Mus musculus: one gene and its partner. The protein of the gene in region 1 interacts with the protein of each later gene in a pairwise test. Links are inferred from orthologs where the notes say so. Each region holds a gene or a part of one and is shown on either strand. Other genes may lie near its edges.

Region 1 (4,056 bases):
TTTTTTTTCTTTTGGGTGGAATTACTCTCCAAAGCTGGGAGCTCCCCTTCTCTCAGAGTGAACCGACTGGAACACATGCTTTGTCACAAAACAAGCAAATTGTGGCTCCTTGTGATATTGGTAGATTCTGGGAATAAAGGCCATCCTGGAGGGGCAAGCCCCCCTAAGTTAGGTCTGAACACACCGTGCTGTGTGCCCTATACTGGGTGAGCAGATGTCTGAGGAAGGCTCTTGCAAATGTTTACTTATATGGCCCCTCTCCTGAGAGAAGTATGCATGCTTCATCAATGTATTTCCAGTGGCTAGGGAATTTTTTTTTAAGTAGTTGTGTTTGGCTTCATAAAGACAATTAAAAGACCATATGAAACAAGAAACACACACACACACACAAACACACACACACACAAACAAACCCAAAAGCCAGTAATTCAAATTAGTTCCGAACTATCATGTTTTGCTTTAGAACATTATTTTTGTTTTTGCTTTTTGTTTTTTGTTTTTCGAGACAGGGTTTCTCTGTGTAGCCCTGGCTGTCCTGGAACTCACTCTGTAGACCAGGCTGGCCTCGAACTCAGAAATCCGCCTGCCACTGCCTCCCAAGTGCTGGGATTAAAGGCATGCGCCACCAACGCCCGGCACTTTAGAACATTATTAAGCATGCATTTTTCAGACCCTAGTGCTTACACAAACAGGACTCAAAAACTCATGGTTTCTGCAATGCCTGTAAGTAACCAACACTGCACTAAGCGCTGAAGAATATTCTGGAAGCAGAACTGCTCTTTTTCTCTACAGAGGAGCGAGATGAAGCAGAAGCAGCTGCTTCGGGGAGGAAAAACACAGTGTTCTCTGGAACTTTCCAATAGTACGGGTTTACTAACAGCTCTGTTCATTGGGAGTTTTAAAACCCTCGACCGTTGAGTAGAAGTCCGCCTTTTTTCAAAAAAAAAAAAAAAAAAAAAAATCTATTTTCCAGTTACAATTTGGCGGGAACAGGAAGTTTGAAAATTCAAGTGCCGAAAACTTCAAATAACTCGTATGACATACATGTAATAAGTATTTCATTTTTAATTTACACCGTACACCATTGCCCAACACACAGAAACACGGTAAATTTAGCACACACACACACACAGAAAGTGGAAAAAATGCAAGAGTCCTATTGCAGTTCTCCGGACATTCAGCGAGCTGTTTTGTTACAAGTGTATCCAATGTCCCCAGCACCAGGGACTTATGGGGGCACCGCTCATTCCTGCTTCACTTGCTCTGCAGCTTCGGGAAGTGGTGGCTGCGTTTGGAAGCAGAGCTTGCCCAGCTAGACGACAAGATGCTTCGCGCCCCCAAGTGCTCTAGGTGCCGGAACCATGGCTATCTGGTACCAGTCAAGGGCCATACGGGCAAATGCCGCTGGAAGCAGTGCATCTGTGACAAGTGCTACCTGATCACCGAGCGCCAGAAGATCATGGCTGCCCAGAAGGTTCTCAGAACCCAAGCTGCCGAGGAGCAGGTGGCGACCGTGGGCACGCAGGGTCCCCAGCTGCCTCCTAGGGCTCCAGCAGCGGCGGCCACCGCCTTGAGCTCCAGCATTTGCCCACTGCCTAGGGCGGTTCCGGGAGGCGTTGGGCCAGGCCCCACGGCCACTTGCTTCCTCGAGAGGCCCCCGCAGGCCCCGAGCCCAGGCCCGAGCACCTTCCAGCTGGGCCCAAGTGGCCGCCCGGGCCCCAGCACCTTCCAGCCTGGACCAGGGGCCCCCGGGGGACTGCGCGACCGTTCCTCCGCGTGGCTGCCCCAGCTCATGCCACAGGCGCCCAGGCCGGAGCTTTGCTACCCGGATCAGCACCTGCCAGTGCGGCCCGTGCCAGTGCCAGGGCCAGTGCGGCCCGTGCCCCGACTGCCGTTCGCCGACTACGGTAAGCCCAGCCTCGTGCAGCCGACGGTTCCTCCGGCCTGTACCAGGCCAGCAGCCTCCGGCTCTAAGCTGGAGTCCCAGACTGGTGCCGGGGTGGGAAAGGCGCCTTCCCCAGGTAACCCCGCTTGAGAACCTGTTCCCAGACAAGGATTTGGGTGGGTGGCTTCTGATGATAGCAATGGGAAAAAGCTGGTAGGGAAGAATGTGCAGTGCAGGGGGGCTTTGTTGAGATGCAGTTTTCTGCCTCTGTACTTTTGCAAGAGGAAAAAAAAGATGGCAGCTGGGCAGCTTTGGCAGTGGCGCCTTTCCGTGGCCCCTCTAGCGCGTTTGCACGGCATCCCTTCCCCCCTCCCAGGTCTAGATCTCTTGTGCCTGCGTGGCAACCCCTCCCCCTCCCCGCCTGCCATTTTTCTCCTGCTGGAGAGTCTTTTTCTGAGTGGCTGTTCACCTTAAACTGCGCCTGCGCACCCTCCTTTCACTGAGCCGAGGCTAATTTATCCTAACTGCAGTGTCTAGCCTAACGCACCTGTACTCACACTCACTTGTTCCATTTCACCTGATGTGGTGGGGAATAAAACTTTCTGCTAGTTGGCCAGGGGGATGGGCTGGTTCACTAAGATTTTTTTTCCCCCTCGCTTTGTGCATTAATTACATTGTTTCTTTATGCTGTAGGTTGCTTTCCTGGTTGAAGTAGATTTCTTGAGTTTTTTTAAAATTATATTTATATCTTATAATTTATTTATTATAATGCATTGGTGTTTTGCCGGCATGCATGTCTGTGTGAGGGTGTCTTATCCTCTGGAACTAGAATTACAGGCAGGTGTGAGCTGCCACATGGGTGCTAGGAATTGAGCCTGGGACCTCTGGAAGAGCAGCCGGTGCTCTTAACCTCTTAACCGCTGAGCCACCTCTCTAGCCCCTGAAGTATGTTTTCAAGTAATGTAAAATTTGAGGCTCTTGGAATGCGGCTCTTTGGGATGAAGACTTGGGTTTTTGGGGGGGGTAGAGGGGGTTACTTTCCTTAGGGCTATGTAGAAAGAGTCTGAGTCGAGGGGATGCCCATGTGTAGCCTTGGACAAGTTCCTTCCTTGAAGAGCAGACTTTCAGAAATTAATGCTAACCATTCTTTTCTCTTTTTTTTCTTTCTTTTCTTTTTCTTTTTCTTTTTCTTTTTCTTTCTTTCTTTCTTTCTTTTTTTTTTTTTTTTTTTGGACAGGTCTCTGTATAGCCCTGGCTGTCCTGGAACTCACTTTGTAGACCAGGCTGACCTCGAACTCAGAAATCCACCTGCCTCTGCCTCCCAAGTGCTGGGATTAAAGGCATGCGCCACCACACTCCGCTCCAATGCTAATCATTCTTAATGTTTCTGAGATTTTGTAAGAAATCTTTCTCCCCAAGGAACTATCTGTCTGATGAGGAAGGCAGACTTAAATAAACCAGCAGTCCTATGAGGGCATATGTGTGTTCATCTCTCAACAAACAGGAACTTTAAAATGTGTTATAAAGAGGGGGGGAGAAGAGGCCACTTGTGGCTAATCCCAGCATGTGTGGAGGAGAGGTCAGAGGGCAACTTTGGGAAACCGGTTCTTTCCTTCTACCTCATGGGTCCCTGGGATGGAGCAGTGGCTGTCAGGCTTGGTGGCAGGTGCCTTTAGCCATCTTGCTGGCTCTGATGGTGCTACTCTCGATTGTCAGATGGATTGGTGAGAAACCTGGATGAGGAAAGCAGGAATTTGTCTGGATGCATCTTGGGAGGCGTTTCCAGAGAGTTTACTAAGTAGGAGAGGTGGGCCCTGCATGTGGGCAAAACAGCATGGCTGAGTGTTCAGGGACAGTGGGGTTAAAAATGAAGAGGAGAGATGGTGTCTGTGACTGCAGAGGAAGTGCCTGGGCTGTGCTGTTCACACCAGCACTGCCAGGAACAGAAACTGAAGCAGAGTCCAGTGGTGGGTGAGAACCACCACACGGTGGCTTAGACGTCCTGTCCTGTCCCCTCCTGATGCACCAACCCCGGGGAACAGCTTGACTGCAGCCAAAGCCAAGGGCTCCCATTGTCTCTGCCCAACACAGCGCTGAACCAAGGGGGGGACTGGGAATCTCACCGGTGTGCTAGAGTGTTGCTGCTAGTGTTGCATGGCCGTTACTGTTAG
Region 2 (3,500 bases), on another chromosome or scaffold:
AATGAAGAATGCTATTTAAAGAACTTAAAACCAGTGAGGTACGCAATGGATGTGCTTTTCTTCTGAGTGGGCTTAGGTCTTAACTTAGGCAACATTAGAAGACAGTTCCCTTGGCCCCTGTGTGTACCTCCTGGGGTCAGATAGTTTCCCCACATGCCATTTTAAGCAAAGTTGTGCTGGCACATTTGTTATCCCCAGCTCTTGTGCCCATCACAGACAGCCGGTAACTTTCCGTGTCTATGATGCATGGTGCACAACAGGTCATTGGAAGCCAAGGGAAACCTGGAACATCTAAGAGGGACTAGCTGTACAGCAACATCCCAGGAGGGAAGAGACCCCTTTCTCATGACTGCTGGGAATTTCCCGCTAAAGGTGTCTCAATACTCACTTTCAAGTCCTAATCAAAGAGTGCCTTGCCTTCTCACAGCTGTAGACTACCGTTTTGACACAGTCTGGCTTCCTGTTTACACCACAGGAAACCAGAGAGCTGCTGCCACTGTTGCTACAGGAAGACACTGCAGGGAGAGCCCCCTGCACCGCTGCCTGCTGCCCAGGACCTGCAGCCAGCACGCAGACTTCATCCTCCACAGAAGGAGAGTCAAGGAGGAGTGCCAGCCCAGGTGAGCCTCCGTAAGGATCTTCCAGAAAGAAAATCTTTCTGGAGAAAGTTCTATGGATCAAGTAGGTGCTAGAGTTTGGTCTGAGGTCAGTGTTTTGCATGGACACAGTGGACACAGCCTGTGACTGGGGTTGGTGGACAGTGAGGTGTCCTGGGTGCAGGGGCAAGAGGATAGTGGAAGTGTTCATTAGAGTGATAGATGTGCTTCCTGGTTGAAGCAGTGATTCTGGGGTGGTGGTGGTGGTGCTGGTGGTGGGAATGCAAGCAATTCCTGAGGGTCTACATGGACAGATGCCCAAAAGTTTCAATAGTCCAGCTACCTTGAGCAACTGCTTTAAATGGGTGTCAGTAAGACAACACACTTCATGCACTATGCTCAAATCTGAGAGTGCAGCATGGGAAAAGCCGGAGCAGTGGTCACCATGGCGAGGAGGTGGATAGCAAGGGTAGTTCCAAGTGGTACTTCAGTAAATACAACATGGTATCTTGGTTATTTAGCAGCTTACTAGAAAGAACAGAGGATCCCGGGTTCACCCATCGTTAATTGTGATTCTGGGCAATCAGCTTTGCCTTTGTCAGCTCATTCACTAGTGAGCAAATATTTAAGACCACATAGAATCCTAATATGTGATTTACTGCTGCTAGCACATGGTGAATGTTAGGTAGGTGAGGCTGTGCTTGCTGCCAGGGATGAAGGAGGAAGGAGTGCCACAGACCCGTTCCTGACCTAAGGAGCTCCCAGTGTCGCAAAAGAGTAAATAGGGAGGCTACTAACCATATTCCCCATGCATGGTAAGGCCTCTGGAGAGTTAAGGGCACTATGAATGAATGATCTAGACTTCTCACCCAGAGAGGTGCCCCACCAAGGGAGACTCCACCTGACCACCCTCCCTTCTCTTAGTCATCTGATTGAGGACACACCCTAGTTTGCAGAGGACTTGCCTGTGGAGCTTTGGACTCTTCCATTCTTACCACATAAGCCCCTTATAGCTGAACACTTTGTAAATGTAGAGACAGGCTGAGAGGACCAGATTTCCTTGCTGAAGTCCCATAGTCAGTAGTACCTACTCAGACCTCCATGATCATGCAAGGGTACTCTTTGGTAGCAGCAAAGTTCTACTTCCCTTGAGGCTAGGCACTGTGACAGGACATAGGAGGAAGCAGTATTCATCAAACAAGGGTGCATTCTCATATGAAAACCGTCTCTGAAACATGAAGTCCAAGCAGCCTAGTTGTATGTAGAGAAGGATGAGGCATGGTGAACACAGAGAACAGCCCAGTGACTTCCCTCTTGTCTGTTAGGGCTCATGTGCCAACCTCTCCTGCTCCTCAGGAAGGGAGTTGGGTGCTGAGTCTCCCCCACGCATGCAGGTAGATGTCAGTTTACTGTTATCTTATTCTGAGAGAGCTTCTGCCACGCTGCCCCTTAGATATGCCAGCCTGAGAACATCATGGTCATAAGTGGATGATGAAACTCCTTGTGGGCCTTACCAAATCCCTGTTGCCCAGGATACAGCTCAGATATATCAACTCACAACTGAGAAAGGGCTCCTCTAGTCCTATGTGTAGCCAAAGTTCAAAGTCAATGCTACAGCCTTTGTTGTTCTCCCTGGAACAGTTTCATCAACTTTTTTTGATTGAGAAAGACTTATTTTTCAAGCAGGCTGGTCAATTACCTGAGTATGGACAGAGTATCATACTCACAAGACCTTGTGACTTCAAAAACAGGCAAGTCCATAGCTATGAGCTGTGCCTATGAAACGAGGGGGCCCCAGTAAACTGTACACACCTTACCCAGTAGGCATGCCCATTCTTCTTGCTTTTGAATTGCATAGATAGTCCAAATCAAATATGGTGACCAACTTGAGACTCGTGGAGTGAGTTTAAAAGGCAAAAGAATTGCTTTCACTTTGCTTTTTTTTTTTTTTTTTTTTTTTTGGTACGTTATCTGTGTGACTTACTTTAGACAGTGGGGAGGACATTAGAATGAACAGTCAGAAGACATGTGCTCTTGCCTGACTCCGACAACTGTGGCCCCTCATCCATCTTGACTGCTAGAGTCCTCTCTTATCAAATGATAAGAGCAGATATTTCCCAGGAACACATCTAGTTCTAGATGTTTAGATGGCCCATGTCACTCTCCTCTGTTTCTCCAGTTTTGCTTGTTGGTACCCCAGTTAGGTGTCATCCCTTGGAGCCAGCACCCACTCTGTTCACTATTTCTGCTCCTGAGCTCTTCAGCACTGTAACTTGAATTTAGGAGAAAAAATCCCAACAGAGTATAATGCTCAGGTTTGGCTTTGTTTCTGCCCACCAGAGACTCCAGCATCCCCAGGAAAACACCCGCTGCTGAAGAGGCAGGCACGGATGGACTATAGCTTTGATATCACTGCTGAAGACCCTTGGGTTAGAATTTCCGACTGCATCAAAAACTTATTTAGCCCCATCATGAGTGAGAACCATAGCCATACACCACTACAGCCCAACACCAGCCTTGGTGAAGAGGATGGGACACAGGGCTGTCCAGAGGGGGGCCTGTCAAAAATGGACGCTGCCAATGGTGCTCCCAGAGTTTACAAGTCAGCAGATGGCAGCACTGTGAAGAAGGGGCCTCCAGTAGCCCCAAAGCCAGCTTGGTTTCGGCAGAGCTTGAAAGGTCTGAGGAATCGTGCCCCAGACCCCAGAAGACCCCCGGAAGTAGCCTCAGCCATTCAGCCTACACCAGTTTCTAGGGACCCACCAGGGCCACAGCCTCAGGCCTCTTCCTCCATCAGGCAGAGAATCAGCTCCTTTGAAAACTTTGGCTCCTCACAATTGCCAGACAGAGGAGTCCAGAGACTGAGCCTGCAGCCCAGCTCTGGGGAGACCACCAAATTTCCAG

The links. The genes of interacting proteins can lie anywhere in the genome.
Region 2: the proteins of Dmrtb1 (region 1) and Il16 interact in a two-hybrid assay, tested with the Homo sapiens proteins (2 studies listed by BioGRID). The two-hybrid records come from large-scale screens. The link is inferred for Mus musculus from reciprocal best matches to the Homo sapiens genes DMRTB1 and IL16.

Annotation. Positions count from the first base shown.
Region 1 is NC_000070.6:107,681,431-107,685,486, reverse strand, and holds the start of Dmrtb1 (doublesex- and mab-3-related transcription factor B1), read left to right. Parts: upstream 1-1,256; 5' UTR 1,257-1,324; coding exon 1,325-1,907; exon of another isoform or gene 1,908-2,021; intron 2,022-4,056.
Region 2 is NC_000073.6:83,652,399-83,655,898, reverse strand, and holds part of Il16 (pro-interleukin-16), read left to right. Parts: intron 1-403; exon of another isoform or gene 404-475; coding exon 476-620; intron 621-2,936; coding exon 2,937-3,500. UniProt on the Homo sapiens protein: Interleukin-16 stimulates a migratory response in CD4+ lymphocytes, monocytes, and eosinophils. Primes CD4+ T-cells for IL-2 and IL-15 responsiveness. Also induces T-lymphocyte expression of interleukin 2 receptor. Ligand for CD4.